3 linked regions of the Caenorhabditis elegans genome follow. The protein of the gene in region 1 purifies or fractionates together with the protein of each later gene. This does not show direct contact. Each region holds a gene or a part of one and is shown in the gene's direction. Other genes may lie near its edges. The genes, in order: T26A5.6, Y17G9B.8 and rac-2.

Region 1 (10,647 bases):
CGTTCTGGAAAATGAAGTTTGATTGGTGTTTAATACTAATTTGTAATTACTCACTTGTAGAAGTTTATAAATTCCTGTAACGACATTTTCACACTTCCTTGATTCTGGACTTGAACAACTTCTATCATTCGATTTCCGCCTACCAGTTCGAGGACATCATCCACTGAGAAATCTGGTGAGGGAAGTCTGTAAAAATATTTATTTTTACAATTAATTGGAAAAATCAATACTCACGTCATTCCTATTCTTTTTGGATCACATCGGAAATGTATCGGGTTGTCAAGTCCATTTTTGTCGTAGAACTCCAAATTTAAAGCTTCTGGGTCCATTGTATGTACAAATTCGGGATGTTGGAAAGACGGATCATTCATCAGAGCTTCGAAATCAAAATTCACACATCGTTGAAGTGACGACTTATCGAATCCAGTAGTTTCTTCACCTTCTGAAGCACTATGTTCGTGCTCTGAACTTGACTCTTTCCTAGCCTTCTTTGCGCCCTTTTTACCGTTCGCTGGCGTTTTTCCATTTGATTTCCGTTTCGGCGGCATCTAAAATAATATATTTTATTAGAATCATAGGAAAATGGTTAGTTATGATACAAAACTGTCATAAAGTTGGCGTAACTACGGTAAATCAATTAAAGACTTGAACGCAGAGAACGGAGTTTTTCTCAGGACATTTTCAAGCGATTAATTAGATTAACTTTCGAGATTCTAATGGCTTTTAATAAAAGAAAATGTAAATTAAGTACCCAAAAAAAGTTTCGTGAACTGCTTGAATTAAAGGTACATGGAATTTTCGAAGGGTCTCAAACGGAACACAGTGATTTTAAAAAATCGATCGATTTGTCGGTTCTTATTTATTTAATTTTTTGGACTTTTTTCATCTTATTTTTGAAAACTGTTTCTAATTGTTTTGATTGAAGCGTTAATAAGACCGAGTAAGGAATTATCTTTAAATAAATTGACAAATTTTGAACATAATTTTCCGCACTACGATGAAAAAAGTTAAAATTTGATTATTTTTGCTTTTAAATGCTTCTTAAAAGCAATAAGAGAGAAATACACATTCAAAACATTAAAGCAAAAAGCGTGCAAAAATCGAAATAGAAACTATGGGCAAGGAACGGAAAAGGCGCAAGCTGGACCACTGGCGTGTTCGACGCAAGCCGTTTCTCTCTCTGCGACTCTCCTCACCCTCACCCCATAGTGCATTCCTGTTTGTTGTTTGATCGTATAACCAGCCTCCTTTCTTTTCACTCCCTGATTTCACTATTTCTTCCTCTTTTTTACTATTTATTCCATTAAAATACAATTCTGGGTTTTCAAGGTCAATATTTCTTCCTTATTCCTGATAATTCGTATCGATTTCCCCTGACATCCTTTCTGGCCTACAATTATGTGGCGTTGTGACGTAGACCGCTGAATTGACAAAACAGTCGAAAACGAACGGGTGGACGGCACCATTCTTTGTTTGCTGCTCAATCTTACAACGACTAAACTTTTTATCGATTTAGCGTTTTATCGACCGCAGCATAAATAGGAAGGGAATGGAATAGAATATACCGATCGTTTTCTAATTACCCATTCATAATCGATTAGCTGCCAGCATCAATAAACCAGCGGCTGCATCTTCTTATGTCATTCAGATTCTCGACACCGATTCGATGTTCTTTTTTTCAGCATATCTTCTTCGTCGGGCTCTCATGTAGTCGCATTGAAGAATGACAAACTGCATTTTTTATGCGATGACACTCTTGTGCACGATGTTGCCATCGATTTGTTGCTCTGTTTCTCATAGTTGTTTTTTTTCAATTCAGTCAAAATTAATAGATCAATAGGACATCTAAATTTAAAATTCCAGTTGGTATAATATTTAAAATATAAATAGAAACATTAGTCATGCGCATGGCGTCAAAATTTATCTAAATTTTAATCTTTGAGTATCTTTTCTGTTTAATTTTACGAGCCCAATAAGTGTATCTATTATTACGGAAATATACATTTTAAAGTTCAATTCCATAATTTCAATCCACCATTTTTTACACCAACCACCGACATCTACCGTGAGTGCAATAACGCTCCACGGCACTTCCCGCCAAAACCATATGACTGCACACCATTTGAATTTAGTCGCGTGTGCACGACATTGTTCTTTGTGCTCAGCTCTCGTCAAAAACCACTGAATTTGATTTCTAATGAGGTTATTCACGAAATGTGGATAAATATCTTAATGATGATGTTCTACTCGGTCTTTTGATATTTGGAAATTCAACGGAATCGGTGAAAGCCCACCCTTTTCACAATAGAAACCTTCACTTTCTAAAAAAAATATTCCTCCGAAAACCCATTCAATCTGCTTTACGCATCTCTCTGCCCGCTTCAATTTCCTCTGTTACCCTCTTCCCAACTACTTTTTCAGGTACATCCAAGATGGCTTTTCCATTTTCAATTACAGTATTCAGGACCGATGAAATCATATTGAATATCTGGGTTTTTGAAACAACACATTATAATATTTTTACCCAACCATTTCAAAACAAAAAAAATAAATTGTGGGCGAATATTTCTATTATTTCTATGACACCTCTTTTGCTTCTTTATAAATTTCTCTATTTTTACTATTCTCCTCACCCTACAAAATTTATTATTTTTTCAGCGGTGTCACTCGAAGGATGAAAGTTGCCGCGAAGAAGCTGGCAACGAGTAGAATGCGAAAGGATCGTGCCGCAGCAGCGTCACCATCTAGTGATATTGAGAACTCCGAAAATCCATCGTCTTTGGCTTCACACTCTTCATCTTCAGGAAGAATGACACCGTCGAAAAACACAAGGAGCAGGTATGATTGATTAGTGACAAGAGGGATTGTAATAGAACGTTTAAAAACTTCAATATTTCTAATTGAATTCACAACATATTCACAGAAATTGTCCAAGCTGAAAACTTCAATTTCCAAATAGTTTTTCTTTCAGAAAAGGAGTGTCGGTGAAAGATGTCTCAAACCATAAAATCACAGAATTCTTCCAAGTGCGGCGAAGTAATCGGAAGACGAGCAAGCAAATTAGCGATGAAGCTAAACATGCTCTTCGCGATACCGTACTCAAGGGGACTAATGAACGACTTCTTGAAGTGTACAAAGATGTTGTGAAGGGGCGAGGAATTCGAACGAAAGTTAACTTTGAAAAAGGAGACTTTGTTGTCGAATACAGAGGTATGTAGATAACACAGATAATTGTTGTAATATTGTTTTTAAAAAGTATTCTAGGTGTTATGATGGAGTACTCGGAAGCAAAAGTGATAGAAGAACAATATTCGAATGATGAGGAAATCGGATCCTACATGTACTTTTTTGAGCACAACAATAAAAAATGGTGTATCGATGCGACAAAAGAATCTCCATGGAAAGGACGACTCATCAATCATTCCGTGTTAAGGCCGAATCTCAAAACGAAAGTGAGCATTTCAAAATTTGAAATTTATTAAGAAAGTCTTTGATAAATTAAAAAAATGTAAATAACAATTCCAAAACTAAACATTCCAGGTGGTGGAAATCGATGGGTCGCATCACCTGATTCTCGTCGCCAGGCGTCAAATCGCACAAGGAGAAGAGCTTCTCTACGATTATGGAGATCGTTCAGCAGAGACGATTGCCAAGAATCCATGGCTTGTGAACACATAATATGTTGCTCCACAACATCTCTTCGATCTGCTCAATCCATTTCAAATGTTCATTTACCTTCACGAGTATACTACTGTAATTCCCTTCATTTTCTCATATTTTCCACGGCACTCGTGCCCAATCCTCTCATTACTTCGTCTCTTTCAACCGCCTTTTCTCATTCTCACAGCGAATCAAACCTGAAACAAATCTCAATAACGAGCCGTAATAACGTGCTCATTTATGATAATCTGGATCTCGTGAGTATCCAATTCTGTACCTTTCCTGTTGACTTTTGAAAAGTCCCTTGTTCTTTCCTTTCATTGAAACCTGAAAATCTCCTCACTTGTTCCACTACGAAATGCCTTTAATATCTTTAATTCTTCTGTAAATTTCTCGTTGATCGCCCATTTTTTCCTGAATTATTCATTTTTGTGGTGTACATGAGGTGCGAGTTGGAAACCTACTTTAATGACTGGTTAACGCTAAAATCGTTTCCATCCCTATCGGAAAACATTATCAGCGTGCAAATCTCAATTTTTCATTTTGAAAACAATTAAAATCCATAAATTTTGCTACATTAATCTTTTTTTACGAGTATATTCCGTTTTCCGGTATAGCAACCATAAGAATTTATCTGAAGATGGTAAAATTCGGGAAAACATTAGAGCTTACAGTTCAGAGAAAGATGCATCCAATTCTGAATGTGGTCGTCGTTAGTTTCCATCACAAGCGAGGATGTGAGGTAACAAAAATGGCAAACTATCAGAAAAATCAGGAAAATATGATACATAAAAGAATAAACTCGAAAACGTAACGATTAAGGTCATAAATGTGCAGGAAAGTAATAAAATGGCAATATAAACTACAAAATCGCGTATATTTTGCAGTTAATTTGAAATAAATGTTACAGTCAATCGAACATTTCACAAAAAGCAGAACGTTTTTGGTACTTTTTACTATTTTTGCAGTATTTTTCATATACATTTAATTATTAAGTTTTGTATTATATGGAGTGAAGATTTAAATTCAAGTTCATCAACTCAATTTGTAAAAAATCAATAAAATAAATCTTGTAGGTAGAATACTCGCACCCGAAACTCGATGGCACGGGCGAATCGGGATTACCCGATGAATGGCATCTTCTTCCATCACTGGCGTTGCCGGATGGTGTACATAATTGTCAAAAAGATACAATATTCTTTTTGCTTCCATCTAGAGAAGAACCTGGAAAATCGATATTTGGCATCTCGTGTTACAGACAAATCGATGCAAAAGTGAGATTTTATATGACTCTTCAGATAAAAACTGTTTGACTTTGCAGGAATTAATAAATAAATCGGAAGATGTGACTAGGACCAGTGTTCAAAAAGCTGTATGCGTTCTTTCAAGAATACCACTTTTTGGTCCATTAAAAGCAAAATTGGAAGTAATAACTCAGGCATATTTTGAACAAAAAGATTTTTCGAAAGTTGATGTTCTTGCTCAAATGTATACGAATCTTTGCGATATATTCGACGAAAATCTTACTGGAGAATACTTTTCAAATCTAGCTCATCATGGTACGTTATTGAATCAATTTACTAAAATAAAACATGAAAATAGTTTCAAATGTTCACATTTTAATTAGCGATATCAGTTTCAGAAATATCAATTCAAGAGCTTTTTATACGATTCCGTCACCGAGCTCTACTGCTTTTTAAATTATTCCTATTAGAGCGGAAAGTTTTATTCATTGCACCAACTGGATTACGATTAGGAGAAACTATGCTGGCTATTGTTTCAATGTTTCCAAGTAAGAATATACAGACATTTTAAAATCGTTTAATTTTGAATTTCAGAGCTTTTGGAAGAAGGTCTGTTCTACGCAACAATCGGGGTCAATACGAGTTGTCATTTCAAAAATGTAAATTCAAAAACTGAAGGAAAAAGCGAAGAAATAGTGATAGAAGAGGAGGTTGGTGTTCAGCTTTCACATGATGATCCATTGAAAGAAAAGGATTCGTGTGGATTTCCTATAAGCTTATTCACACAAGGATCATCATTTGATCCATATCTATCAATTCAATCAATGGATTTAGTCCCGAAGACTCAGAGTTGTATATTTGGAGCTACGAATGCCTTATTTGCGATGAAAAAGGATTTATTTGATGTTATTGTGAAGGTTTGTATTTTAAATTAACAATTTTCAGGTTTCTAACTAAACTTGAGTAATTTCAGATCGAAGACGACGGTTCTCTTGTCCATAATCACATTGAATTTGTCAACGACACAGCATTGGAACGAGTAGTTTCTCTAACTACTGCAGATCTTCGATTCGCTGATTTTATTCTCAAAAAAGTCGAAGAACAGGTTAAATCCTCAAATGCTGAATTCGATGGATCAGATGAATGGATTCGTTTACAAATGAAAAACTATCTTCTTGGCCTCGTTGCCACGTCACGTTCCGATCTACAAGCAGCGATACCTCATTTTGGAATCGCTTTTGTAAACGAATGGCGGAGAACTAAAAATCACAAAATTTGGGTTGCAAACAAACATGAAGATTTAACATCTGTTGCGCCAGGGTGAGGAATTTCAGAACATGAATACATTTTTCAATCTGAATATTTCAGGCACATGTTCTCGGAACAAATGGGAGTCTATGACGTGTATCTTCGTTTTGAACATGCCGTAAATGGAGTTGAAGGAGCTTCAAAAGTTATTGGAACTGTAAATACTGCCGGAAAGAATTTAGGAAATACCATTGGTAATTTTTTTCGGGTTTGGAAATTAATATAGCATCTAAAAAATTTCGAGAAATGAAGTAGCAGTAAAAAATTGAGGGCATAGCTTTCATTGCTTTGAATTATTCAAAATGTTCAAAATTTACAAAACTGACATTTTGCCAAAACGAAAAAAATATTTTTAATACTAAAGTGATTAACTCGATCGTGTTTTCAGGAGAAACCGGTAGTCGAGTCAAAGCAAAATTCTCAAACTGGTGGAATCGAAAAGCAACCGCACAAGAAGGTGTTGAAGAGGCAGAGGAGCCATCTGAGTGATTTATTAAAGTCAAATATGTATAATGGGCATTTTATCATCTTTTAAAGTTTTTTATTGTAATTAGAATTTCTGTCATATTTCCTTTGTTTTGTTTGTGTTCCATTCAATTTGATCTCTTAATGATCGAATCGTTTTCATCCGGTTTATGTAAGTCTAATCAGTTTGTTTTTCATGTAATCAATATAACTATGCATTTGTTTAAACTCAAAAATTGGTTTAATATACGGGTGAAGATGAACATCCTTTTATATATTACTTTCTTCTAATGATAGAATTGTGATTTATGATCTGTGACCATTAATGTTTTGATTTTAAATACGTAGACAAGTTGAAGAGGCAAACAAATAACGTTTAATATTTAGTTGAAGAGAAAACTTTTTTTTCAAAAACTCGGATAATATTTTTTCCAGTTTTCTTATTCACATTTTAAAAGCACAATTTACAATTGATAATGTTAAAATTCAACAAACTTTTCAAACTTCCCAGGAACCCCCTACAAACTTTGTTTTCCTGTGACGTCACTAAGCTACCTTTGCACTGTAGACGTTCAGATTTGTAGTCTCTCCTCTTTTTGTCCCTCGTGGGAGACACATGTTCGTTGTACTTTGCCCTTTTGTCTACTCCTCTTATCTCTCCTTTCCTCTACACGTACGCAAAGATACACTTTACCCTGATTTTTTGCTTTTCTTTTCCGAAAATCACAACAATTATGTATTTTGTTTTCATTTGAGGAATACGTAGAAGAAAGTTATAAATTTTAGCTAAAATATTTAGAACTACAATTTTGTGACCCCAAAAATAATTCGAAAAATGTATCTTTGATAGTAAATCACCCATTTATTGTGGCTGGCTTGGCTGGTTGTTGACTTGTTTGTTTTGTCTGCAGTTGGTCAATCGATTTGTTTTTTCCCATCGTGTCTAAATATATTTTTAGTTGTTTCTTTTTTCAATTTTATGCGCCCAAAGATACAGTCACCGGTCTCGACGCGACAAAATTTTGCTAAATGAGAAAAGGCGTGCGTCTTTAATGAGTACTGTAGTTTCAAACATAAATAGGTTGCTACATAAATTCTACCGGTTTATCATTGTTTTTTTTCCAGAATTACTAAAATTTAAGTATTTATATCAACGGATATATTTGAGTCTTCTGTAAATAAGCTTATTTATTAATTATTAATTATTATTATTATTTTCGAAAATCTATGAAAAATAGAGTAAAATTCCACAGAAAATTTGAAATTATAGTATTCTTTAAAGACGCACACCTTTTTGTATTTAACAGTAACCAGAATGCATATATTTTGCGAAAAAAGCAAATACATTTTTCATTGAAAATTCACGTAATTTTTTAAAATTAAAATGCAACAATTATTTCTTCAATTATCGATTTCTTTCTCATTTCTCAATTTCTGTGACTTCAGAATGCGGATAAGTGGAGTCACATTATTCCGCGTCTCATCACAACTTCGCAACGTCGTCAACGGACAATGGACGACTACTCACTATACTGTAAAGGATCGATCCACTGATCCACGGTGGAAGGATGTTGATTTGGCACGAGAAAGTGATGTTTATGATGTTGTCATTGTTGGAGGAGGTCCATCTGGTTTATCAGCAGCCATTCGATTGAGACAATTGGCTGAAAAAGCTCAGAAAGGTAAAATCTAAACAAATACATTTTAGAGTAAACATATTTTTTTTAATTTCAGAACTTCGTGTCTGTGTTGTCGAAAAGGCATCTGTTATTGGAGGGCACACTCTCTCAGGAGCTGTAATTGAAACTCGAGCTCTTGATGAACTTATTCCAAATTGGAAAGAGCTGGGAGCTCCAGTTTACCAACAAGTTACCTCTGAATCTATCGCTATTCTCACTGAATCTGGTCGAATTCCAGTTCCAGTGCTACCTGGAGTTCCACTTGCAAATCACGGAAACTATATTGTTCGTCTTGGAAAGGTCGTTCAATGGCTCGGCGAGCAGGCTGAAGCAGCTGGAGTCGAAGTTTGGCCAGAAATCGCTGCATCTGAAGTGCTCTACAATGAAGATGGAAGTGTGAAGGGAATTGCCACAAGTGACGTTGGAATTGGAAAGGATGGAGCACCGAAAGATGGATTTGCTCGTGGTATGGAATTCCACGCGAAATGCACAATTTTCGCTGAAGGATGTAGAGGACATTTGAGCAAGCAAGTTCTCGATAAATTTGATTTGAGAACACATGCAATGACTTATGGAATTGGACTCAAAGAACTTTGGGAAATTGATCCAGCAAAGCATAGACCTGGTTATGTTGAGCATACTATGGGATGGCCATTGGTAAGTTTCTGAAGATCTAAAAAATTAAGAAAAATTGAAAAATCTAGTAAAATGTGAGCTTTTTTTTTGAGTGTTTCAGATTAAAAGATATATTCTAGAATTTAATCTCTAAAAAATGATTTTTCAGAATGTTGATCAATACGGAGGATCCTTCTTGTACCATATCGAGGATCAAGGACAACCACTTGTTTCCGTTGGTTTCGTTGTTGCTCTTGATTACGCGAATCCAAATCTCAATCCATACAAAGAATTCCAAAAATACAAAACTCATCCATCGATTTCTAAACAATTGGAAGGAGGAAAACGAATTGGGTACGGAGCACGAGCTCTCAATGAAGGAGGATTCCAAAGTATCCCGAAGCTTCATTTCCCCGGAGGATGTCTTGTTGGATGCTCAGCTGGTTTCTTGAATGTCGCTAAACTGAAGGGAACTCATAATGCAATGAAAAGTGGAATGGTGGCTGCTGAATCAATTTTCGAGGATATTCAACAAAAGGGAGAGGATGTGCAAACGATTGATCCAGCTACATATGACAAGAATATTCGTGATACTTATGTTGTTAAAGAGCTCAAAGCAACCAGAAATATTCGTCCATCATTCAATACTTCATTGGGATACATTGGAGGACTGATCTATTCTGGAATATTCTATGTTTTCGGTCGAGGAATTGAACCATGGACTCTTGGACACGGAAAGAAGGATAATGAGAAGCTCATTCCAGTGAAGGATGCAAAAGAAATCGATTACCCAAAACCAGATGGAAAGCTAACTTTTGATCTTCTTACATCTGTATCTCTTACTGGAACCAACCATACAGAAGATCAACCTGCTCATTTGACATTGAAAAATGATCAAGTTCCACTTGATGTGAATTTGGCAGTATATGGTGGCCCGGAGGCTAGATTCTGTCCAGCTGGTGAGATTTTAATACAAATTTGACTTTTAAAAACACATAAATAACTTTTTTTTCCAGGAGTCTATGAATTCGTCCCATCCGAAGCTGATGAATCAAAGAAGCGTCTCCAAATCAATGCTCAAAATTGCATTCACTGCAAGACATGCGACATCAAGGATCCTCAACAAAACATTAACTGGGTTACACCAGAAGGAGGTGGTGGCCCAAAATACGAGGGAATGTGAATCCTTTAGCTTCTCGTTTATGTTTGTGTATAATTTTTGTACTTATTTATTCGCCACTATCGACTCGTAGATTATGTATTTCTGTTCTTCAACGGTTTCTCTCAATTTTCTCTCATTTTCGTGTTCCCCATCTTTTGTAATGCCATTACATTTTTATCCAAACCAAATGAATAGATTTCTGATTAGTGTGTACTTGAACGGAAAAGCTTCAATATTGCCATAATTGTGGTACATATATACATTCATCCCACTACAGTATCCTTTTCTGAAAAGATTGCAAAGTGTTGTATAGAAGAAGAGACGCAGATAATCAAACAAGACGTCTGCGCTCGTGTATGTTTGTCTCTGGACAGACATACACACAGAAACACCGACAATGAAGATATGAAGACACACAGACACACAGAAAGCCGTCATCGATTCTCCTGTTTTCTTTGAGCCTTATTTATATTTTTCTTATTACTCCGACGCGTAATTTTGAGATTTTTGCGCC
Region 2 (10,647 bases), on another chromosome or scaffold:
GTAACGGGAATTTCAAGGTTGAAGTTTCAAACTTTTTACAGAAAACTCAAATTTATCAAGCAATAAAAATATAAAATCGTTCGAAATTTCAAATTAATTTCAAATCATGGAGATATGATTGGACGGCGTCTGGTGAGCTTCATGTGGATTGGAGAGACCGGGCAAACGATTATTTCCATTTTTGGACGAACCTGAACAAGTTTTATTAAGAATTTAATTTATAAACTTTCAAATATCATTTCATGCACCAACTCAACATCTTTTACACTGAAATTTCTCAACAAATGAGTCATCTAGTGAATGTCTAGCGAATAGTTCCACTTGCAGGTCTGTAAATAATTATATTTGGTCACATTTTACTTACAGATCTCCGATAGTCATTCTTTGAAGAACATAACTAATCGATTTTTGAGGTGATTTGAGCAGTTGGAATGGAATAGACACACCGTTGTCCATGGTCACAAATGGAGAATGAGCAGATGGGAAGATTGGGTGGTCCGATCCAATTGACCCCCCTTCCCCAATTCTCTAATTCTCATCTTAGAGATATTATACATATTTTTCTTTGTCTAAAGCGTGCAGAGACACGCACATGTTCCAAAGGATAATGGAGCGAGAAGGCACTGGTTAGAGATCTTTTCTCTTAAAATAGAAAATTCTTCGAATTGTTCGATTCAACCTTTTTCGTTCTCATTGGTGTTTGATGGCAATATGCTCAAGCGCTGGAGTGTTGTTTGCAAAACATCAACAAGAAAATATCAACGGTTCAAATTTTGAATTTCGAAAAATTCACTTTTCCTGTATGACTTTGGTATTACGGGAACATTAATTTCTGAGAATGCGTACTACGCAATATATTTGACGCGCAAAATATCTCGGAGCGAAAAATACAGTAATTCTATAGATGACTACTGTAGCTCTTTTGTCGATTTACGGGCCTGAATTTCTGAATGAATTAAAACCATTTATGGAATATTAAAATTAAGCAAAACGTGAGAAAATAATACAAAATAACGAAGGAAAATGAGAAATTTGTTATCACTATTCAAAAAGAAACTCATTTCGAAAGTGGGCCCGTAAATCGACACAAGAGCTACAGTGGTCATTAAAAGAATTACTGTAGTTTTCGCTACAAGATATTTTGCGCGCCAAATATGTCGCCCAGTACGCATTCTTAGAATTGTTTGTTCCCATATTACCCACGGCCCGAGAAGTGGTACCTGTACGCAATTTGTCTACCGTATACCTGGACGTTTGGGCGCGTGTATCTCAAAAACGGTTGGTCCAGTTTTTTTGTGATGCATATAAAAAATGTCCGAAACTAAATTCTAAATTTTTTGGACCAAAGCTTTTTTCGTTATCACGCGCCCAAACCTGGTCTACACTCAAATTATCAGTAGAGCGCATTTGCATGGATGTACCACTTGCCGGGCCGTGTTACCCATTTAAATAAATCCACGTGCCTTTAAAGCGGCATGTCAAAATCTAGTGAAACTGTGTACGTTGCGGGACCATAGAGAAAATTTTTTGCTGCGCCTTTAAAAATACCGTATCAAAATTTGTCACATTTGTCAATATGAGCTGTTCCATGAGAATCAATATTACTAGCTATAACTTCATTCAAAAATCAATAAATTCAGACTTTTTGCAATGAGAAAAATTTAGTTTTGATATATTTGCAGTACGTATTCACAGAATTTAGTGTAGAGCCTATAGAGCTTAAAAAATCAAATCGTTTTTGTTCCAGGAATAGTTCACTCCCCGAAATAAGAATTTGTTCATCACATTTGCAAGGTAAAGTATGAAAATTAAAATTTATCATGCATTAAAAATATATAATCATCAAGAATAAAATTGGCTATTTTGAAATTATGGAGAGACGATTGGACGGCGTCTGGTAAGCTTCATGTGAATTGGAGTGACTGGGCGAACGATAATCTCCATTTTCGGACGAACCTGAACAATTTTCAGTTAGAATTTAATTTATCAATTTTAATTTTCAATGTTTCACCTCATGCATCAACTCGACAGCTTTTACATTGAAATTTCTCAACAAATGAGCCATGATGACCTTCTCCTCCATGAGTGCAAAACGTTGGCCAATGCAGTTACGACTTCCAGCTGAGAATGGAATGAAGGCGAAAGACTTGCGAGCAATTGAATTTTCAGGAAGGAAACGATCCGGATCGAATACATCAGGATCCTTCCATTGCGAAGGATCACGATGAACAAGGTACAGGTTGAGCAGAAAAGTGACTCCTTTTGGAATATTAACACCTCCAATCACTTGATCATCACTCAATTCTCTTGTAATAATTGGAACAGATGGGAACAATCGGAGAGCTTCTTTTAGTGCACATTCGAGATATTTCATTCTGGAGAGATGTTCAATAGTCACGTCCTCATCATCGCCCATCACTTCATCCAATTCCGCTTGAACTTTTCTCTGAACTTCAGGATGATTTCCCAGAAGATGTATTGCCCACATTAGTCCTGTAGATGTTGTATCGTGGCCTTCAAACATGAATGTGTCAACTTCTGCCTGAACATCTGTTTCGTCCATTTGTCCACTTTTCACCATTTCGAGAAGAAGATCTAAAAATGCGAGACGACCTTCCATCTTATAATCATTCTCCTGTAGCGCTTCTTTTCTCTCGACAATTACTTTCTTCGTGAAATCATGTAGAATACGAAGACATTTTTCATGCGTTCGTCCGTCTTCTGTTCTGAAAAATAAAATTGAATTGACCTTTTTAATGATAAAACTATCGTACAAATTGTAAATAAACGAATTCCACATTAACGGATTATTTGTTCGCTTTGAGATCAGCTTGTTGATTGTGTGCACCGCCCATACATACTCGTTATTCTGAAAAAAAAACGTTTAGAAATGTTGCGATTGAAGAATTTCTCGAACCTCCGCGAGTTGAGCACCGATAGCTTTGCCCATGGAAGTTTCACAAATGATATCAAGAGTGCACAAGGTTATAACGGAGAGAACATCAACTTCTTCCCTGAAAATGAATATTTGAAAGCGTTATAAATTGAAATTCTCACTCTGCTCCGAGGGAACACATTTTCTGAACCAAAATCTTTGATTGCTCGTTGAAAATCGGCAAAAAATCCTTCAGAATATCATAATGGAAGGTGGGTGTCAAGAGTTTTCGCTTTGGACGCCATTGTTCCTTCTGGCTTGTCAAAATACTGATTCCAAGCCATGGCTCAAGCAAAACGTATGCGAAACCTTTGTTCAGATGTTTCGTCGACGAGAAAATTGGTTCCACGAGATCGGCGGAGTAGAGCATCAGGCAAGGGAACGGACCAATCCACAAAAGACACATACGTGGATCTGGATATAAATATCCCATTCCAATTACTTGGTTCATGAATCCCTCTGGATCTGGCTTGGTGACCAGTCCGTGACCGACGATTGGATATGAACGTGGTTGATTGAGATGCTGAAAATTTATTTAAATTATCTTCAAATGAATTTTGAAATCAAACCTTCAAAGCTTGACGCATTCTCAAGTGTTTGTAGAGAAGCCAAGCGATTATCGTCGCCGAAGCGAGAAGTACAGCGGGGATGATAACCCCCATTGCAAAACCTTCTGAAATAATTTATTTGAGCGAAAAAAACGAGCAAAAAGCGTTGAAAACTTGAGGAAAATTGTTTGTTAAGCTTTGGTTTTGAAAATCGCAAAAAAAAAAGTTTTTGAACGAACATTCAAATTTCAGACAAGTCGTGGTGAGACCCATGTGAAAATCGTCATGCGTCTTTAAAGAGTACGGTAGTCTTGAGAAAGTTCTCGAACGAATTTTTGTCGTTTTCTGATATTTCAATCTTGATTTAAATAATTATTAAAAACTTTTAATTACCATTATTTTTTCAACAAAAAAATGAAGAAAACAAAAAAACAAATCCAAAACTATTTTTCAATGAATATTGTACTTTTTATGAATGCTTCGTCTATTTGACCTATTTGACGTATTTGATCCCCCCGTCGAAAAACCAGCGCAACTATTTCATATAGGCTCAACGAATTTTTGATCGTGAATCTTCTTCTTCTTTGCTGACACTCACAAAAACTGATGAAGTTTTTTAAAAAATGGTTTTATCGATAAATTATTATTAATCTGCCAATCACTTCAGTACATTTACTTTTTTTTTAGTTTTCTCTTTCATTTTTGCTTCAAATTTTTTATAAAATTTTAAATCAACGTTTTTCAGAATGTCAGCTCCATCTCGCACCGTCCTTCGCGATTTGACGGCGACCAGATACGTCGCCAACTACGCCGAAGAAGATCGCTTGGAAACCGCTCGAGCCGGTTGCTCTTCCCTCCCACCACAACCCAACATCAATCATGATGTAATTATCGAAGGGCACGGAGAAGATGTGGAGCTCGTCGAAGATGAGAACTACTGTTCCGTTCATCGTATCGATGAGACTCCAAAGCTCGTCGACAAGAAACCGAGCAAGACAATCATCCGCGATGAAGCTGTCAAAGTGCTCCGGCACATTCAGACTGTGCCGATTGAAAATCTTCGTCTTAAGCGCTACGACTATTTCTCGCAAAGATGGTTCCACACGACCAGAGAATCGGAGAAAGCGCTTGTCGAGCACGTGTTTCTTCATCCCAACCAACGACCACATTATTTTGCCGCTCAGTGCCGGAAGCTGTCGGTCGAGGATATCTCTAGTTTGATTCTGGTTAGTTTCTTGGCCATATTTTTGATAAAGCATAAATCTCATTTCAGACTTCTCTCCTGACCGAACCGAAGGAAACGGGACAAAATGTGGCTCGATTTGCTATCCAGACAACCAATGAAATGTCGTTCCAAACGTTATTTGCATTGCTCGAACAACTAGAGAAGGAAAACGAAAGGTTCCAAATGACAGATAGCTTTGTGGTTGCAACCCTGATCCGATCACAGACGAAGAGAGTAAGTAAATCGGTTTTATATTACACACAAATAACTTTTCATGTTTCAGACTATCACTCGTCTCCTGAGAACCACACACTGCCGGGAATACGGAAATCTCGAGCCAGGACTCGATTCACAAGGCCGGCTGATGACTTCGACTGCATCAATCACGTGTTCAATTCGAGGAAAGCGCCACGTGGAAACGAGGATCGTGTACAAGAACAACTCGAGCACCAGGGATCCTTTCCGAAGAAATAGAGTGAGTTGTATAGCAATAATTCTATCGATTTCCAATTTATAACATTTTCAGTACATCGAATTGGAGCAAACGGTGAAGTGCATGAACCGGCGAGTGCTGATTGTCGAAGAGCCAGTCGAAATCCACGAATTCGAGGTCGAAAAGGATATGATCTCGCTGGAAAACGGAATTGCGCCAGTCGACGACCTGATCTCGTTTCTCGAAACATTCGAACTGGATGAAGAGGACGAGTAACTCCATATATGTCCTATAATTAGTAGTAATGTGCATAAGTCTGTATTATTGTATATGTATTTAAATAACCGAGTGGTTCCTGTTGAATATTCCAACTAACTTCCCCTATTTTATTTTCCTTTTTTGTTTTAGTTGTTTTATGTATATAGATTCTCCAATGCCCAAATTGTGACAACCCACGACTATTTTGTTTATATTCGACATGTATATTGCCCGCATTTATTTTGATTTTTTTTCAAAGATGAATTTGTTTGAGGTATAATTTTACAATGCATTACTGCTCTGATTGATTGATTAGAATATGAATTTCAACTATTCCCGGCTTTTCACTGGTAAATTACTCCATATACGTTATTTTCCCACCGCAACAACCTGGCCTTTTCATTGCCTCATTCACAGCATACGACTTGTAATGTCTGCACTCTCCCCGTCTCATCACGTAATCAGGTCTCTCTCGATTCTTCCCGTTTAAATATATATCTGCTCTATTGCACCTCTTCATTTCCTTGTTCAGGAAAATAGCATAATTTCAAAATGCCTCGGAAGAAGAACGATGTGCAAATCACCGAGGAAATGAAGAAGAAAACCGCCGAAGAGGTTATCAAAAAGGTGAGTTTTATTTATTTATTTATTCCTAGTTTTGAAATTAATTTTCCAGCTGCCAACAGTGAAATCGAAGCAAGACGCTATCAACGAGAATCTGCAAAAACTTCAAGAATTCCGAGATAATGAGCCGAACCCCTATGGAAAGGGTAAAGTGGGTTTTTTTAAACAATTTTTATAACTAATTTTTGCGAAATCCAATCATTAAAAATTCAATATAAATACAGTAGTCTGTTTAAAGGGGCACGTGGTTGTACGGCTGGGTCTCGCCACGATTTTAAAGTTTTCTTGCAAATATCAATTAAAATCTTAACAAAAGAAATCAATGAAGACCAAGTTTTAGATAAATTTTTAAAATTTGAAGTAAAGTTTTGAATAGTTTCAACAAAATTTTCGGGGCAATTGCCTCGAAAATCTGTTCAAATTTGCAATCTGTACAAATTCGGCGATTTCTGCATGCTGTGCACAAATTCGGTTGAAATCTGGGTATATTCTGAACGGGTTTACTGAGAAGTTTCCATGGTTTTCGATGGAATTTCACATTTTGTCACCAGCACTCATCGATCTGTGGAATCACAACAATCATTCATTAGGTTCGTTTTCATCTTTAATCTCTCAAAATTAAAATAAATATTACAGAAATCTTTTGGACGAAGTAAAACGTGTTGCTGAAATGGATTATCGCTCCCAAATGGCCGGAGACATCAGTCGGAGAGATTTAATGGAACTGATCAAGGTTCGCGGCGACCTTCTTCCATTATGGACCAGCCATGACACACAATTTCCTGGAGAATATGTTGGAGCTATTGCACCACAGGATGGCTCGAAACTAGGCGACGGAGATTCAGTGGCGGCATTCAGTAAAGACGGAAACTGGATTCTTGCTGATATTGTCACATGTCACTCTAACTCGCGATATGAGTGTCGAGACGTTGATGATGACAAGAAGAAGTTGACAGTTTTCGCGAGAAGCCATTTGTTACCCCTCCCAAAATGGAAAGCGAATCCTGCATCAGACAAGCATGCACTTTTCGAGAAAAATGCGATTGTGTTGGCGTTGTATCCACAAACCACTTGCTTCTACAAAGGTACCAATTTTCACAAAAGTTTCAAAAATAAAATAATTATTTTCCAGGAATAGTTCACTCCCCGCCAGCAGATTTTCGAGAACCATATCAAGTAGCGTTCGAAGACGACAGCTATGCATCAGGATTCTGCCCTCCAATGCCGGTTGCTCAGAAATACGTGGTTGCCTTCCGAGAAGTTGCAGGGCTCACTGCATCAACTGCTCCAAAAAAGGGAAATGGCCACAAAAAGAAATGAGGCCATAATCCAATTAATTGACAGTATTTATTGTATGTAACTCCTAAAAATCCCGGAATTCCTTCTCATAAATCTCACAATGTTTTTTATTTGTCCATAAAAGTTGTTCTTATCAAAAATAAAACGTGTTATTATTGGCGGCAACATTATTCGAAAATTATACAAGAGAAATAATTCAGAGAGTGCAGAAAAAATTAGAAAGTGATCCAATGCGTGGTCTTGATTATTAAAAATTAACGTGATTTTAAAACCAGAAAAACATTTTGATTAATATATCTGCACGATCTACAATGATAAATAGTACATAGCCGTCATCCCATCATTCCTTCTCACATCATAACCACCTTTGACAGGATACTCGTCACATCCCGTCAATCCCAACGGCAAAAGAACAAAAAATTCTCTATCCACAGTCTCCTCAGCATCGAAAGCGCACTAGAGATAGCTATCTGCTAGATATTCTATACCTTCAAAGAGTGATTCGAGAAGATCTTCGTCTCACCTGAATGCAGTAAAATCGAAATTCGCAGATTCCAGTTTCCTGTCGACTCCGTGAATCCAGTGTTTCAAAAATATATTGACATCTTTGATTCTTAGATAAGCGACGAATGCGGAAGCATTTGTCACTATTTAGTACATCATTAAGATCATATTTCAATGATTGGTGTAGTACAACTATGTCCATGTTACGTGTTAAAACCATTTGCATTTGTTTAGATGCTTCTATTGAGAACGGGTTTTTGCTGCTTGTACAAATTGAATCAGTTTTACCGGAAAACTGTTTCAACACATGTTCATATAGCAAACTGTTAAAGCCAAACACTGTGCCTAGCTGCAAATCCTCAAACTCCAATCCTTCGAATTCATCACAAATCGTACTTTCGAATTGTGCAGTATCAAATGATAACTTATCAATTCTCTTTTGATGAAATATTTCCATAAGATGATTGTCCGTTCGTCCGTGAGAGTGAAGTGTTTGAGAAGATTCTTTTTGTCAGAATAAGAAGACGTTAGAATATGTTAATGGGTCCTGGGAACATGGGAGTGGTTACGGACGAAGGAAATCTTTGTCTCTGCAGCAGATGTATAATAACAAGTAAGTAGAGAGTTAGAGAAATAAGAGGTCACTGAACATTACCACTCAATCCTCCCATCTGCTCATTCTTTATTTGTGACCATGGATGACTATGTGCCTATTCCCTTCACATTGCTCAAATTACCTCAAAAATCGATTGATGTCGTGCTGCGCAGAATGTGCATAGAAGCATTGTGAGTACATAGATCATCATTAAATTTTTTCTGTAGTTTGCTGAAGAGCGTAATTCGAAAAATTGCTTGAGTGATTCGAGAAGTTTTAATGAAATGTATAGTTACTTTGAAACTTTTATTACTCAACAAGCCGGTGTCTTTCGAGCCTACCTCTCGACTTCCTCCGACTAGTAAAATTAAAATTCAAACATCCCGTTCTCAAATAGCCTTGATCCAGGGATATGGTTCACTAATCGCATTTCCTTGTCAATATGAAATATTCATTACAGAGTTGAATTATCATTCACATCTAAAGCTGCAATGCAACAAACTAAACACCTTGGTATAAAAACCGAACGTTTTATCATCGCAATTAATTCAAATGAAATATTGATTGACGTTTCCGGTTGTAGAGATTTCCGATTCTACACTTTCGAATGTTCAACCCCCAGCCACCATACTGTACAGAAGCCCATAAGAGTGCATGTTGGTTTCAGAGGGGAAAGATGGGAAACCCCATTTTTTGGAGTGAGACAATTTTTGAATCATCTTATGGAAATATTTCATCAAACAAAACTTGATAGCTTACATATTAGTACAGCTGACCCTGAATGTTCTAATGAACTCAAAGGAATGGAGTTTGGGTGGTTGTCCATGATGTCCATGACATCGGACAACAATAGTTCACAAGATGAAGATGCATTGAGACAGTTTTCCGGCAAAACTGATTCAATTTGTTTAAATAGAAACCCATTCTCAATAGAACCATCTAAACAAATGCAAATGATTTTAACACGAAACATGAACGTAGTATCAACGAAATGTGATCTTAATGATGTGTTTGTTACAAATGCCCGTTCATTCACCGCTTTTCTGAAAATCGAAGATGTCAATATATTTCTGAAGCACTGGATGCACAGATCCGACAGAAAACTGAAATCTGCATGGTTCGATTTAGATGCATTCAGGTGGGACGTTGAAGATGTTCTCGAACCACTTTTTAAAGGTATAGCATATCACGTTGCCCCAGCAGATAGAGAATTTATTGTTCATTTGCCGAAAAAGTTATCGGGATGTGGTGATTATCGTGTCATAGGTGGTTATGATGTGAGAAGGAATGATGGGATGACGGCAACTATTATTGTTGCAGATCGTGCAAATGTATTTCTTAAAATGTTTTTTTGGATTTAAAACCACTTTTATTTCTAATAATCGAGACCATAGATGCATCCCATTTATGCATTGCATGGAGATTGATTGATTCATCTACCACCATTTCAAATTGTTTTATTTTTCTGCACCCTCTGAATTAATTCTCTTGTATAATTTTCGAATAACGTTGCCGCCAATAATAAAATGTTCTATTTTTGAAACTGAATAAGAGCTTTATTTTTGAAAATAACAAATTTTATGAACAAATAGAAGACATTGTGAGATTTATGAGAAGGAATTCCTGGATTTTTAGGAGTTACATACAATAAATACTGTCAATTAATTGGATTATGACCTCATTTCTTCTTGTGACCATTTCCTTTTTTGGCACTGATCTCCACCTGCTCCCAGCAGTCCTTCAACAATTCTCATTTGAATATTGTTGTCTTTCAAGTACCCCGTCATTGGTTTCTCTTTTTTCAACCATTTTCAGTTATTTTCAGCTTCTACTGGCTTCTCCATGGGACCTCAGTCCGATTCCAGAACACTGATCTCCACCTACTCTCAACAGTCCTTCCAACAATTCTCATTTGAATATTGTTATCATTCAAATACCCCATCTTTGGTTTCTCTTTTTTTCAGCCATCTTCAGCCATTTTTAGCCATTTTCAGCCATTTTCAGCCATTTTCAGCTTATACTGGCTTCTCCACGTGAGCTCAGTCCGATTCCAGAACACTGATCTCCACCTACTACCATCAGTCTTTCCAACAATTCTCATTTGAATATTGTTGTCTTTCAAATACCCCGTCATTGGTTTCTCTTTTTTTCAGCCATTTTCAGCTTCTACTGGCTTCTCCAAGGGACCTCAGTCCGATTACAGAACACTGATCTCCACCTACTACC
Region 3 (10,647 bases), on another chromosome or scaffold:
GAGCCTATTCAACTTGCAGTTAACCTCCTTTGTTTTTGATTTAATGCTCTCCTATTTCTGCACACTTGGCTACTTGGTTCCGTTAGTGGGTGTATATCGAATAGGCATTCTTGATATAGAAGTTGCAGAGTACATTTGGATAACAGTGGCGGCGGTTTTTAGTTAGTTCGAGAAAAATAATTCAAATCTAGTTACATGTAGAGTAGCGAAATTAGAGACTTTGTTTTTTAAGACCAAAAATGGGCCACAGCGCATCTTTTACTACAAAAGCTGGAACAGAGTATTTGATTGTGATTTTTCTTCAGTTTTTTCAATGAGACTTGTCTGAATTTTCACTGAAACATCCGAACAAACTCAAAAATTAATTTAAACTGTTTGAAATGTTCATAAATCTTCTCTAAAATTTTTCTTTCAAAAATCTTGTAAAATCAATGAAAATCTAAATTTTTTCCAAAATCAGATTTTGTCGTGTTTTCTGTCTGAATTTTCACTAAAACATCCGAACAGACTTAAAAATTGAGAAATCATCAGTGAAAAAAAGCAAATTAGTTACAATTAGTGAAAGTTCAGACAAAAAACGCGAAAAAATCTGATTTTGGAAAAAAATTTTGATTTTTATTGAATTTTCAAAATTTTTGAAAAAAAAAATTTAGAGAAGATTTATGAACATTTCAAACAGTTTAAATTAATTTTTGAGTTTGTTCGAATGTTTCAGTGAAAATTCAGACAAGTCTCATTGAAAAAACTGAAGAAAAAAATCACAATCAAATACTCTGTTCCAGCTTTTGTAGTAAAAAATGCGCTGTGTGGGCCACAACTACCAAATTTCGTAACGAGACGTTCTGAAAATTTCTCAAAAAAGTTATGACCTGAAGTTTTGGAAAAAAAATGACCTTCTTTAGGTAAAATCTCAAGCTTCGACAACTTTTCAGTGGCGCAGCGGTAGAAACTTGATTTTTATTTAATAAGCACTTTTTGATACATATTACGGTACTTTGGTTTTGTCATTGATTTAGGTAAATTTTTGTCGATGAGTGCACAAAATTAGATCATATTCGTATTAAAGTATGACAATACAATAAAAACGTATTTTCGCGTATTGCCACTGCCAAGTTACAAAATTTTGAGATTGCAACTAAAATTCGATCATTTTTTCTCCAAACTTTTGAGCAGTTATGAAAAATCTCCAATTTCTATACTCCACCTTTAAATAAATTATCAATGGAGTTTTCAGCGACGGATGCGCAGTCATTGTTGTACTAGAAAACCGACTTTCCATTTTGTTAATCAATCCAACAAAATGGGAATATGCACGTTCGCCATTCTTTGCATTTTACTATTTTACTGCTATTGCCACCTTCTATCCAGTTTATGCTACAATGCCACCAGGAATAGAGTACAAAAAAGATTTTATCATAGAGGTGGTTCCAGATAATAGCCTTGTTAATCATAGAAATTAAATTATCAATTTTCAGTCTCTTCCCTGCCTTAGGGCTGGCCAAATGTCAAAAAATACGACAACTTAAAAAATATTCACGTGACGGGGGTCACTCTTCGACACTTTTGTTTTTGTCAATATTTGACGTGTCGAAAACCGACACCGTCGAGTTTAGACACTCGAAACGTTGATTTATTGTTTTTATTTTTGATTTTATTTCCCAGTTCACGTTTTTTCAAATGAGCACAGAAAACAATGATGTGGCAGTTGAAAAATTTAATAAAATACTTTGATTAACAATTATAATTTTCATTCATTTTTATCCACGTATTCAGTGTCGAAAAGCGACACCACGAAGTGTCAAGAAATGACTTTCTAATTTTTTGAATCACGTGTGAGATTCATTTTTCGACTACAGAAATAAATGAAAATTTTTGTTTATTGACGACACTTGGCCAGCCCTACCCTGCCTATCAGATGAAGTTCGCGCTCTCCCTCTCTACCTTGCCGTGGAAAACAAATTGCAATATCTGATGGGGACTGTAGGAGAAGCAATACTACTTTATGTTACCTGCTTGGCACTCTTTTTTCAAATCTACCGTGCTCTTAAAAAATATGGCAAAGTCCGTTCGAAACAAACCTTGGAACTACAAAAAAAGCTGATGAAGGCGATGTTTTTGCAATTGGCAATTCCCTTTTCCATTATCTCCATTCCAATGGCCTATTTCTCATATACACCATTTTTCAATGCGGCATTGAATAATACTATGTATATTATAGTTGCAACACATGGTTTCATATCAACAATTGTTATGCTCATTGTACAGAAACCTTACCGAGAATTTATCCTGGGAGGTTTCGGGAAGTTTTTTAAACTGAGACAGTCTAGCGAAAATGTTTCGGGGATCAGTTTACACTCGATGAATACAATTGTAGCACCAAACCGAATGTTTTGAATAAATACTACTTTAAACATTGTTTTTGCATTGATTCAAAGCACCGTTTTCTAACGTCGTAACATTTAAGCAGGTGATATTCAGTTTGTAGTTATTACTAATACATTTATTTTGTTTTCAAAGGATAGCCACAATTAAATTTAAAAAAAGATAAATCTCTTTGAAAATGGTATTTTGGTTAAATACTGTTCACTTGAGGGCTTGAAATATAATATAAATCGTTGGAGAGACAGGAGAAACGTCAACAGGGAGAAAACCTGTGTTATTATGTAGAGCACATATATTACAATAGGAAGTGTTAAATAGGAGATGTTAAAGTAGTTAGGAGAATTTCTTTTAAAAAAAGTTATTGTTCTGGATCAAGAATTTTTTATCTCACATATTAAGACAACTAAAGCACAAGAAAAACAGGAACGCTAGGTATAGGAAATAGACGTTTCTGGACATTTGATAAAGATGATTAACAGCTGGAAACAGTATCATCTGAATGAGAAAGTTATGTTTAATGCAATGCACGTGTTGAATACCGCTTTATCGAGTTTTCGATTCATTTTGAACACGTACACATAAACTGGGAATAATGCCGAAAAAACAATCACCGAAGCAATAAAAAATATCTTGAAAGAATAATATATTGTTTCAGTAATTTTTACAATAGTGTCGTTCATTGGTACTTCTTTTAAAGCAATGTACTGCCAAATTTATATTATAGATTAGGAATTAGTGTGAAATAAAGTTACTGACAGGTGAATGTTATTTACGGCAAGAGCGAAAATTTTGTTTCTGTAACATTCTTGACCAATGACAAGTAAAGGTGGAGTACCGAAATGGGTACTTGTGTTTCGCACTACGTTGCTCACTCGCCAAGCTACACACGCCGAGCTGCGGAACTCGGAAGGTATCGGCCGCTTCCAAATAACTACCTTTCGCACTTCGTTGCGCACACACACCGGCGAAGGGCGACGGCGCCTCCGCCGCGCCGCTCTCACATGGAAGCCCTATTCCCTTTTTTTGAAATGTATCCATTTTAATAAAACGTGATGTCCATTACCCCTCTTTAGGCTTAGAAATGGTTATTTCCTGAGCCTAAAGATACAAAAACTCCACACGTTAAAAAAAAAATTTAAATGAGGAAAATTTAAAAATGGCACAATACTACAAATTTTCGTAATTAGATTGCTAAAAAAAACAGTTATGATCACTCAAAAATTTTGGAAAAATCGGCTATATTTTGCTGAAATCTCAAATTTTCACAACTAGGGCTGTTATTTAGGACGTCCTAGGTCGTCCTTGTCATTTTTTGATGGCTTATTTTGGCGTCCGTTTAACAGGAAAATTCAGCCTCAAACTCGAATCCAGATAATATTAACCCAAATAATCTATTTTCGTTATCAAAATTAATGTGTTAAGTCCGAGGACTTTGGTATAAAAATTGGGAGGACGATGAGGACGTCCTGTTTAACAGCCCTATTGACAACTTTTCAGTGTCGCAGCGGTTGGAACTCAATTGTCATCCTAATTTCTGCACTATGACGAAAAGTCAAAGGCGTGGTGTACAGACAACTCAGTGCGAAATGTGGTTTTAGCTGCGGCCGACGCTTTTCGGGTTCCGCTCGGGGGTCACCGCAAAGCGCGCGTGGCAGACGTTATCCCGCCTGCATGGAATCCCTACCTTCCTCATAGGATTCATCAGTAGTTCTCGATCGTTCTTCGGCCCGGCCCAATTCACCTATAAAACTAAATGAAACGCGCATTCAAGGTCATTCCTTATATTTTCCCTATACTCTTATTTCGTTATTTTTGTCTTCCTTATACTTACCACGTGTCTGTTACTCATCTATTCTGTAATTACTTAATTCCTCTGATCAACATGACAAGATGAAATAATCTCACTAGATCCAGTTTTGCTTCTTATTTTTTAAAGTTTTCCGAGGGAAAACGTTAGTTAGATTTCCCCCTCCTATCAGGTTTTCTCCAATGTTTTTCAATATCATGATTAAAATTTGTCCTGTTCTTGAACCAATTTTCAGTTTTTTTGCTCGCGGAGCTCCAGATGCAAGCAATCAAATGTGTCGTCGTTGGTGACGGAGCCGTCGGTAAGACGTGTCTCCTGCTATCGTACACTACAAACGCTTTTCCCGGAGAATATATTCTAACGGTGAGCCACTTTTTGTCGGGGCACTTGAGAAAAATTCGGGTTGGCACTTGAAAATTTTTTTTTCAAAAAATCTTATTTTTTAGCGCAAAAATTTGAAAAAAAATTTGAAAAAAAATCTATCTATACTTTTTTATTTAAAAAACCATGAAAAGTTGAATTCGTTTTTCAAAAAAAGGCAACTTCTGTCCGTAAACGTAAAAATGAAAACATTTTTTGAATGAACCCTCTGAAAGTGGAAAATTTTGACCGAAAACACGATTAAAGTGCTAATTTACATGATGAAAATATGAAAAGTTCTTACCTTTTTTTGCCTGATTTTAACCAGATAAAATTGGAGAACGGTCTGAAATTGGGCTTTTTCCTTATAATCTCGAATTAAGCCCAATATTTATGCAGGTATTCGACACCTACTCAACAAATGTGATGGTCGACGGAAGGCCAATAAATCTCAGCCTATGGGACACAGCTGGACAGGACGATTACGATCAGTACGTGCGGAAAAATCTGAAAAATGCGTCAAAAAATGAGCCAAATTTCATTTTCTCAAAATAGTTGATAGTAAATTTTTTCAAAGTTTTCGCCTATTTTAGAGCAATTTTCTATTTTAGAGCGAAACATTCTGAAACTTCTAAAATTTTTAACCGACCTATTGTCTGCTAAAAGTACAATTTTGTTATTGTGAAAATTGCTAAAAATATTTCCTCCACAACTTTTTTTTCTACTTTTTACAATTTTTCTAGCAATTTTCAAGCGGATTCTATTTTATAATGACAAAAAGAATGTCTATCAAAAAGTAACATTTCATATCAAATTTCGTAGGGAATGAAAAAAATCTTAAACTATATCTAATCTATCTAATGAATGTTTATTGTATTTACATGTGAATGTAAATTTACAGCCCACTTAAATTTCCCCATTTTTCTTCAGATTCCGCCACCTGTCATTTCCACAAACAGACGTATTCCTCGTATGCTTTGCACTGAATAATCCAGCAAGTTTTGAGAATGTTCGTGCAAAATGGTATCCAGAAGTATCACATCATTGCCCAAATACACCGATTATTTTGGTTGGAACTAAAGCTGATTTACGCGAGGATCGAGATACTATTGAACGGTAATTTTTTGGGATTCATTTTAGCATCGAAACAACTTTTTTATCATGTTTGAGAGAGATATGGCAAGAAATTGGGTGTGAAACTTTTGCATATCTCCCCATGTTTTTACCTTTTCGGCCAAAAAAGACAGCAACTCCAATGTAATACCCCCAAAAACTCTTGAAAAATAAAATTTTTGCAGGCTCCGTGAACGTCGGCTCCAACCAGTGAGCCACACCCAGGGTTACGTGATGGCAAAGGAAATCAAGGCGGTCAAGTACCTGGAATGCTCGGCGCTTACCCAAATTGGATTGAAACAAGTTTTCGATGAGGCAATTCGTACTGGGCTCACCCCGCCACAAACACCACAAACGAGAGCCAAAAAGAGCAATTGCACGGTGCTTTAAAATGCGAGGAAATTGGAGAACTCAAATTACAGAAACTACAACAATTTCAACTACCATACTAATTTTCAATACATAAAAGCTTCTGAAGCTTTTCGTCGTTGGAATTTCATATTTTCAGGTCGGAAAAAAAATTGAAGGAGAGGATAATCCCTTGCCTTGAGGACTGATCATCACAAAGTTATTACCACATGATTAGTACCCACCTATAACAGACCAAAAAACGAACCACGTGTGTGTTCAAAGCTAAAATCGGAGTTTCACCATGTTTTTGGCGAGAACTCGTAATTTGAGCTTTGATTGTGAATTCTTTTAGGGCTTCCATGTGGGCGCCGGTCAGGCGCCTCCACCGGCCTCATGTCGCCACTAACGCCGCAAGTATCCGTATGTATAGTGCGGCGCGAAACCTCGAACGTGTCGGCCGCTTCCATATAACTACCACTTCGTTGCGCACATACATCGACGAGGGGCGAAGGCGACGGCGGGCCGGCGTGAGGCCGGCAAAGGCGCCTCCGCCATGCGGCTCTCACATGGAAGCCATAGTTTAATTTGATGGTCATCCTAATTTCTGCACTATGACGAAAAGTCAAAGGCGTGGTGTACAGACAACTCAGTGCGAAATGTGGTTTTAGCTGCGGCCGACGCTTTTCGGGTTCCGCTCGGGGGTCACCGCAAAGCGCGCGTGGCAGACGTTATCCCGCCTGCATGGAATCCCTACCTCCCTCATAGGATTCATCAGTAGTTCTCGATCGTTCTTCGGCCCGGCCCAATTCACCTATAAAACTAAATGAAACGCGCATTCAAGGTCATTCCTTATATTTTCCTTATACTCCTGTTTCGTTATACTTTTCTTCCTTATACTTACCACGTGTCTGTTGTTTGTCCCCATTTACTCTTCTATTCTGTAATTGCTTCATCCCTTTAATAAACACGACAAGATGAAATATTCTTACTATATCCAGTTTTGCTTCTCATTTTTTAGTTTTTCGAGGGAACAAGTTATGGGGTTATTCAAGTAGTGTCGGAAAATTAAAAGGTGTAGGAATATTACGTCACTTTGTGTATTAAAATACATAAAAAACATGTACATAAAGTGACCTAATATTCCTACACTTTTTTAATTTTCCGACACTACTTGAATAACCCCATTAGGTTTCCCCCCGAAGGTTATCTCCTATATTTTTCAATATCATGATTAAAATTTTTCCTGTTCTTGAACCAATTTTCAGTTTTTTTGCTCGCGGAGCTCCAGATGCAAGCAATCAAATGTGTCGTCGTTGGTGACGGAGCCGTCGGTAAGACGTGTCTCCTGCTATCGTACACTACAAACGCTTTTCCCGGAGAATATATTCTAACGGTGAGCCACTTTTTGTTGGGCAATTTGAGAAAAATGGCGTGCAAAAATCAGAAAAAAATCGTCATTTTTATTTAAGAAAACATAAAAAGTTGAACTTGTTTCTCAAAAAAAGCAACATTTGTCCATAAACGTAGAAATGGGTAAAAATTTAGAATAAAAAGTGGGTAATTTTTACCGAAAATACTTTGCCTGATTTTGAGCAGAGAAAATTAAAAGCGGTCTGAAATTTGACTATAAATTCAAATAATGTTCAATATTTCTGCAGGTGTTCGACACCTACTCAACAAATGTGATGGTCGACGGACGGCCAATAAATCTCAGCCTATGGGACACAGCTGGACAGGAAGATTACGATCAGTACGAGCGGAAAAATCTGAAAAATTTCTCGAAAAATGAGCCAGATTTCATAAATATTTTCTCAAATTATTTGATAACATTTTTTCAAAGTTATCGCCTATTTCAGAGCAATTTTCAATAAAAATTGGAATTGGCCTAGGCTTAATTTGTACCTTTTTTGATAAAAACTTATGATTATTAAATTTTCTGGAAAACAGGTGAAAATGGTAAAATATTTCAAATTTTACTCGAATAGTTGAACACTAATTTTCAATTCATTCTAGTGAAATCTACTCATTTTTAGAGAAAGTACAATTTTTTTACAGTAAAAATTGCTCGGAACTTTTCCTCAACAACATTTTTTTCTAATTTTCACTATTTTTACTAGCAACTTTCGAGCAAACTCTTATTTAACAATTTAACAAATTTAACAATGACAAAAATAATGTCTATATTAAATGAGAGGGAACATTTTCATATCAAATCTTACAGCCTACTTAAAATTTCCCATTCTTTCCAGATTCCGCCAACATTTCCACAAAAAATTTCCACAAACAGACGTATTTCTCGTATGCTTTGCATTGAATAATGTAAGGATCTGCCCCTCACTACATCTTTCCCACACAGCTTATACGTGTATTTCAGGACTACTCGGAGAGTCAGCAGTCTGTATTGGAACGCATCGTCTCAGGACTTACAAGATTCGCCTTCTACAGCTCGTTCCAACCAGTCGCACAAGTGCCGCTACCCTCCGACGTCGAACCAGACTTGTAATGATAATTACCGTAACCCGTGCAGGCGCGCTCCACCGAACTCTCTCGGCAGCGCGCGCCACATTTTGCATTTCCTTCCGGAACATTCTTGTCTCGTCCCGCCCTTCCACCGCAACCTGCTATATAAGACGACAATTCCCTCATTCTAGGTCTTTTCCTCGTTTTGACTTGTTTTGTCTCCTTATCTCTCTCTCTCCCTCTTTCTCTGTACTTGTTTGGCAGGACATTGTTCCCTGAGCCACTCATTTTATCTTAATAAACCTATTAATTAGCACATATCTCGTTCGTGTTATGCAATTCACCGACCAGCATAGAATAAAGCACAATGAGAGTTAAAACCTTTTACTGGTAGCAGCGAGTGTCATTGAAATTGATCGGCCAATCGTTTCAGTGATAATTACGATCCACCTCTTGCTTTTTAGTATCGTTTATTAGATTTTTGTTTGCGCTCACCTTTCCTCTCGCTTTCGTGTAATTTTTCTCCCTCTCTATTCTTCGTATATCGATTAACGCGTGATCGATTACCTGGCCTTTTGGCGCAGTTTTGGTTTGTGGTTACGAAAACGAGAGAGGCCATTCAATCGTGGAAGAAAAGAAGATTTAAGCAGACCTCGACATTATTCTCGGGACATTGTTTGGCTGATGGATAGGGTGTGCGTTCAGTGGTTTTCGGGCAGTTTTCCTTAATAAACTGGATATGGTGTACGCACATTGGAGCCTAACAATGGAGGCAGAGAAATCTCCTCGAAGATCAGGATTTTATCACATCGTGATGATTAAAAAGCTTTTAATTACCCTCCCTCCCACCCTGAAAAAGCCATTCAATCAAAGTTTTACAGAGAGAACAATCGTGTTCAAAGCGCAATCGTCATGGCTGACAAGGAAGAGCCTCCACCAGCGGGAACTCTTCAAACATCGTCTCAACTTCTCGCGCCTGACCCTGCGGAAAATCTGAAAGCGAAGTCTGCAGCGACAAGCCAAGCAGTCTCCACCCGAGCCCGTGAACAGATCGAGTTGCGGAGGGTGGAAAGCGAAACGAAGGAGGAAATTTTGAAGGTATGTAATCCTCTGACAGTGGATGAAGGCAGGTCATCGCACCCAGGTCTGATTCCGGAAGCTGCTCAGGGGCTATCCTATTCTTATTCAATCTCGGAATCTCTTGATTTCGATACACGTGGTAAAATGTTATTTGATTCCGGAAACGGAATGATTAATTCAATCAAAAATGTGTCTAGATTACCTAGAGTCATGGCTATTCTCGGAATAAAATCCGATGTAAAAATCAACGCATTTAGTGGAACAATGAGCGAAGATTTCGTCTCATTTCGACAGTCATTCATGGATCATTTGGGAGCTTCGACTGAAGTCCTAACTGAACAACAGAAAGTCAGTTGTTTGCTAACGTTTTTGGCTGGCACAGCAAGAAATATTGCCGGTGATTTTATCAAAATAAACCCGGATATTAAGCTGGACGAGCTGTGGAAAATGCTCGCTGAAAAACTCTTAAATCCAGTTGTGTTGGGTTTTAAAGAAACTCAATTGAAGCAGTGTAAGCAGGAAGAAGGTGAGTCGGTCGACGACTTTTATACCAGACTTTTAAAGCTCGCGAGCGCAGCGTCTACAGAAGAGTCAGTAGAAAATGTTAAAAGAATAACACTGGATACATTTCTCAATGGTCTCAATCTTCAATTACAAGAAACAGTCCGATTGAACCTCCCGGAAACAACAGAGAAAGCATTCGAATTTGCACGAACCGTCGAGCTGATCAAAGCAGATATGCTCAGAAAATCGTTTAAAGATCCCAGAGCGCTGGCGATCGGTGTTGAAAATCGTCAACAACAATCGGAATCTGGAGAATTCCAAGGTACGTGTTTTTATTGCAAAAACGTAGGTCATCCTGTCCAATTCTGTACGAAAAAGGCTTTTGATAAGAAGCGTAAAAGTTTAGAAAGTAAGTCACATGGTCCGATAAGTAGTCACCGTGTCGATAAGCCGAGGAACATGGTCCTCGCATCTCAAGAACAGAAGTCACTGTCCGATGAAATCAAAGAGCAATTCGAGAAGTTTTCCCGACGTCTGGACAGACTGGAAGTCGGCTATAGCAGTTCAACTTCAAGAAGCCGAGTCAACGC

Evidence for each region.
Region 2: the proteins of T26A5.6 (region 1) and Y17G9B.8 fractionate together in Caenorhabditis elegans (co-fractionation; one large-scale study listed by BioGRID). This does not show direct contact.
Region 3: the proteins of T26A5.6 (region 1) and rac-2 fractionate together in Caenorhabditis elegans (co-fractionation; one large-scale study listed by BioGRID). This does not show direct contact.

What each region holds. Positions count from the first base shown.
Region 1 is NC_003281.10:6,444,384-6,455,030, reverse strand, and holds T26A5.6 (UDENN domain-containing protein), read left to right. Parts: upstream 1-4,339; 5' UTR 4,340-4,345; coding exon 4,346-4,402; intron 4,403-4,736; coding exon 4,737-4,934; intron 4,935-4,981; coding exon 4,982-5,219; intron 5,220-5,296; coding exon 5,297-5,452; intron 5,453-5,498; coding exon 5,499-5,821; intron 5,822-5,877; coding exon 5,878-6,224; intron 6,225-6,272; coding exon 6,273-6,406; intron 6,407-6,600; coding exon 6,601-6,701; 3' UTR 6,702-7,019; downstream 7,020-10,647. Other genes in the region: jhdm-1 (JmjC domain-containing histone demethylation protein 1), read right to left, coding at 1-4, 55-186, 235-548; Histone-lysine N-methyltransferase set-1, read left to right, coding at 2,675-2,838, 2,972-3,210, 3,265-3,452, 3,541-3,678; let-721 (Electron transfer flavoprotein-ubiquinone oxidoreductase, mitochondrial), read left to right, coding at 8,125-8,359, 8,412-9,013, 9,141-9,930, 9,988-10,154.
Region 2 is NC_003282.8:4,754,010-4,764,656, reverse strand, and holds Y17G9B.8 (SGF29 C-terminal domain-containing protein), read left to right. Parts: upstream 1-5,816; 5' UTR 5,817-6,026; intron 6,027-6,075; 5' UTR 6,076-6,539; coding exon 6,540-6,613; intron 6,614-6,659; coding exon 6,660-7,108; intron 7,109-7,155; coding exon 7,156-7,343; 3' UTR 7,344-7,480; downstream 7,481-10,647. Other genes in the region: Y17G9B.2 (uncharacterized protein), read right to left, coding at 170-191, 365-456; cyp-31A3 (CYtochrome P450 family), read right to left, coding at 1,870-1,956, 2,012-2,726, 2,775-2,869, 2,918-3,014, 3,058-3,458, 3,505-3,597; memi-1 (MEiosis-to-MItosis transition associated), read left to right, coding at 4,230-4,709, 4,757-4,942, 4,992-5,183, 5,235-5,417; Y17G9B.11 (PID domain-containing protein), read right to left, coding at 7,715-7,795, 7,846-8,052; fbxb-77 (F-box associated domain-containing protein), read left to right, coding at 8,521-8,612, 8,882-9,597, 10,247-10,458.
Region 3 is NC_003282.8:16,303,778-16,314,424, forward strand, and holds rac-2 (Ras-related protein rac-2), read left to right. Parts: upstream 1-4,447; coding exon 4,448-4,552; intron 4,553-4,948; coding exon 4,949-5,040; intron 5,041-5,479; coding exon 5,480-5,665; intron 5,666-5,847; coding exon 5,848-6,052; downstream 6,053-10,647. UniProt on the Caenorhabditis elegans protein: During gonad morphogenesis, plays a role in distal tip cell (DTC)-mediated guidance of gonad elongation.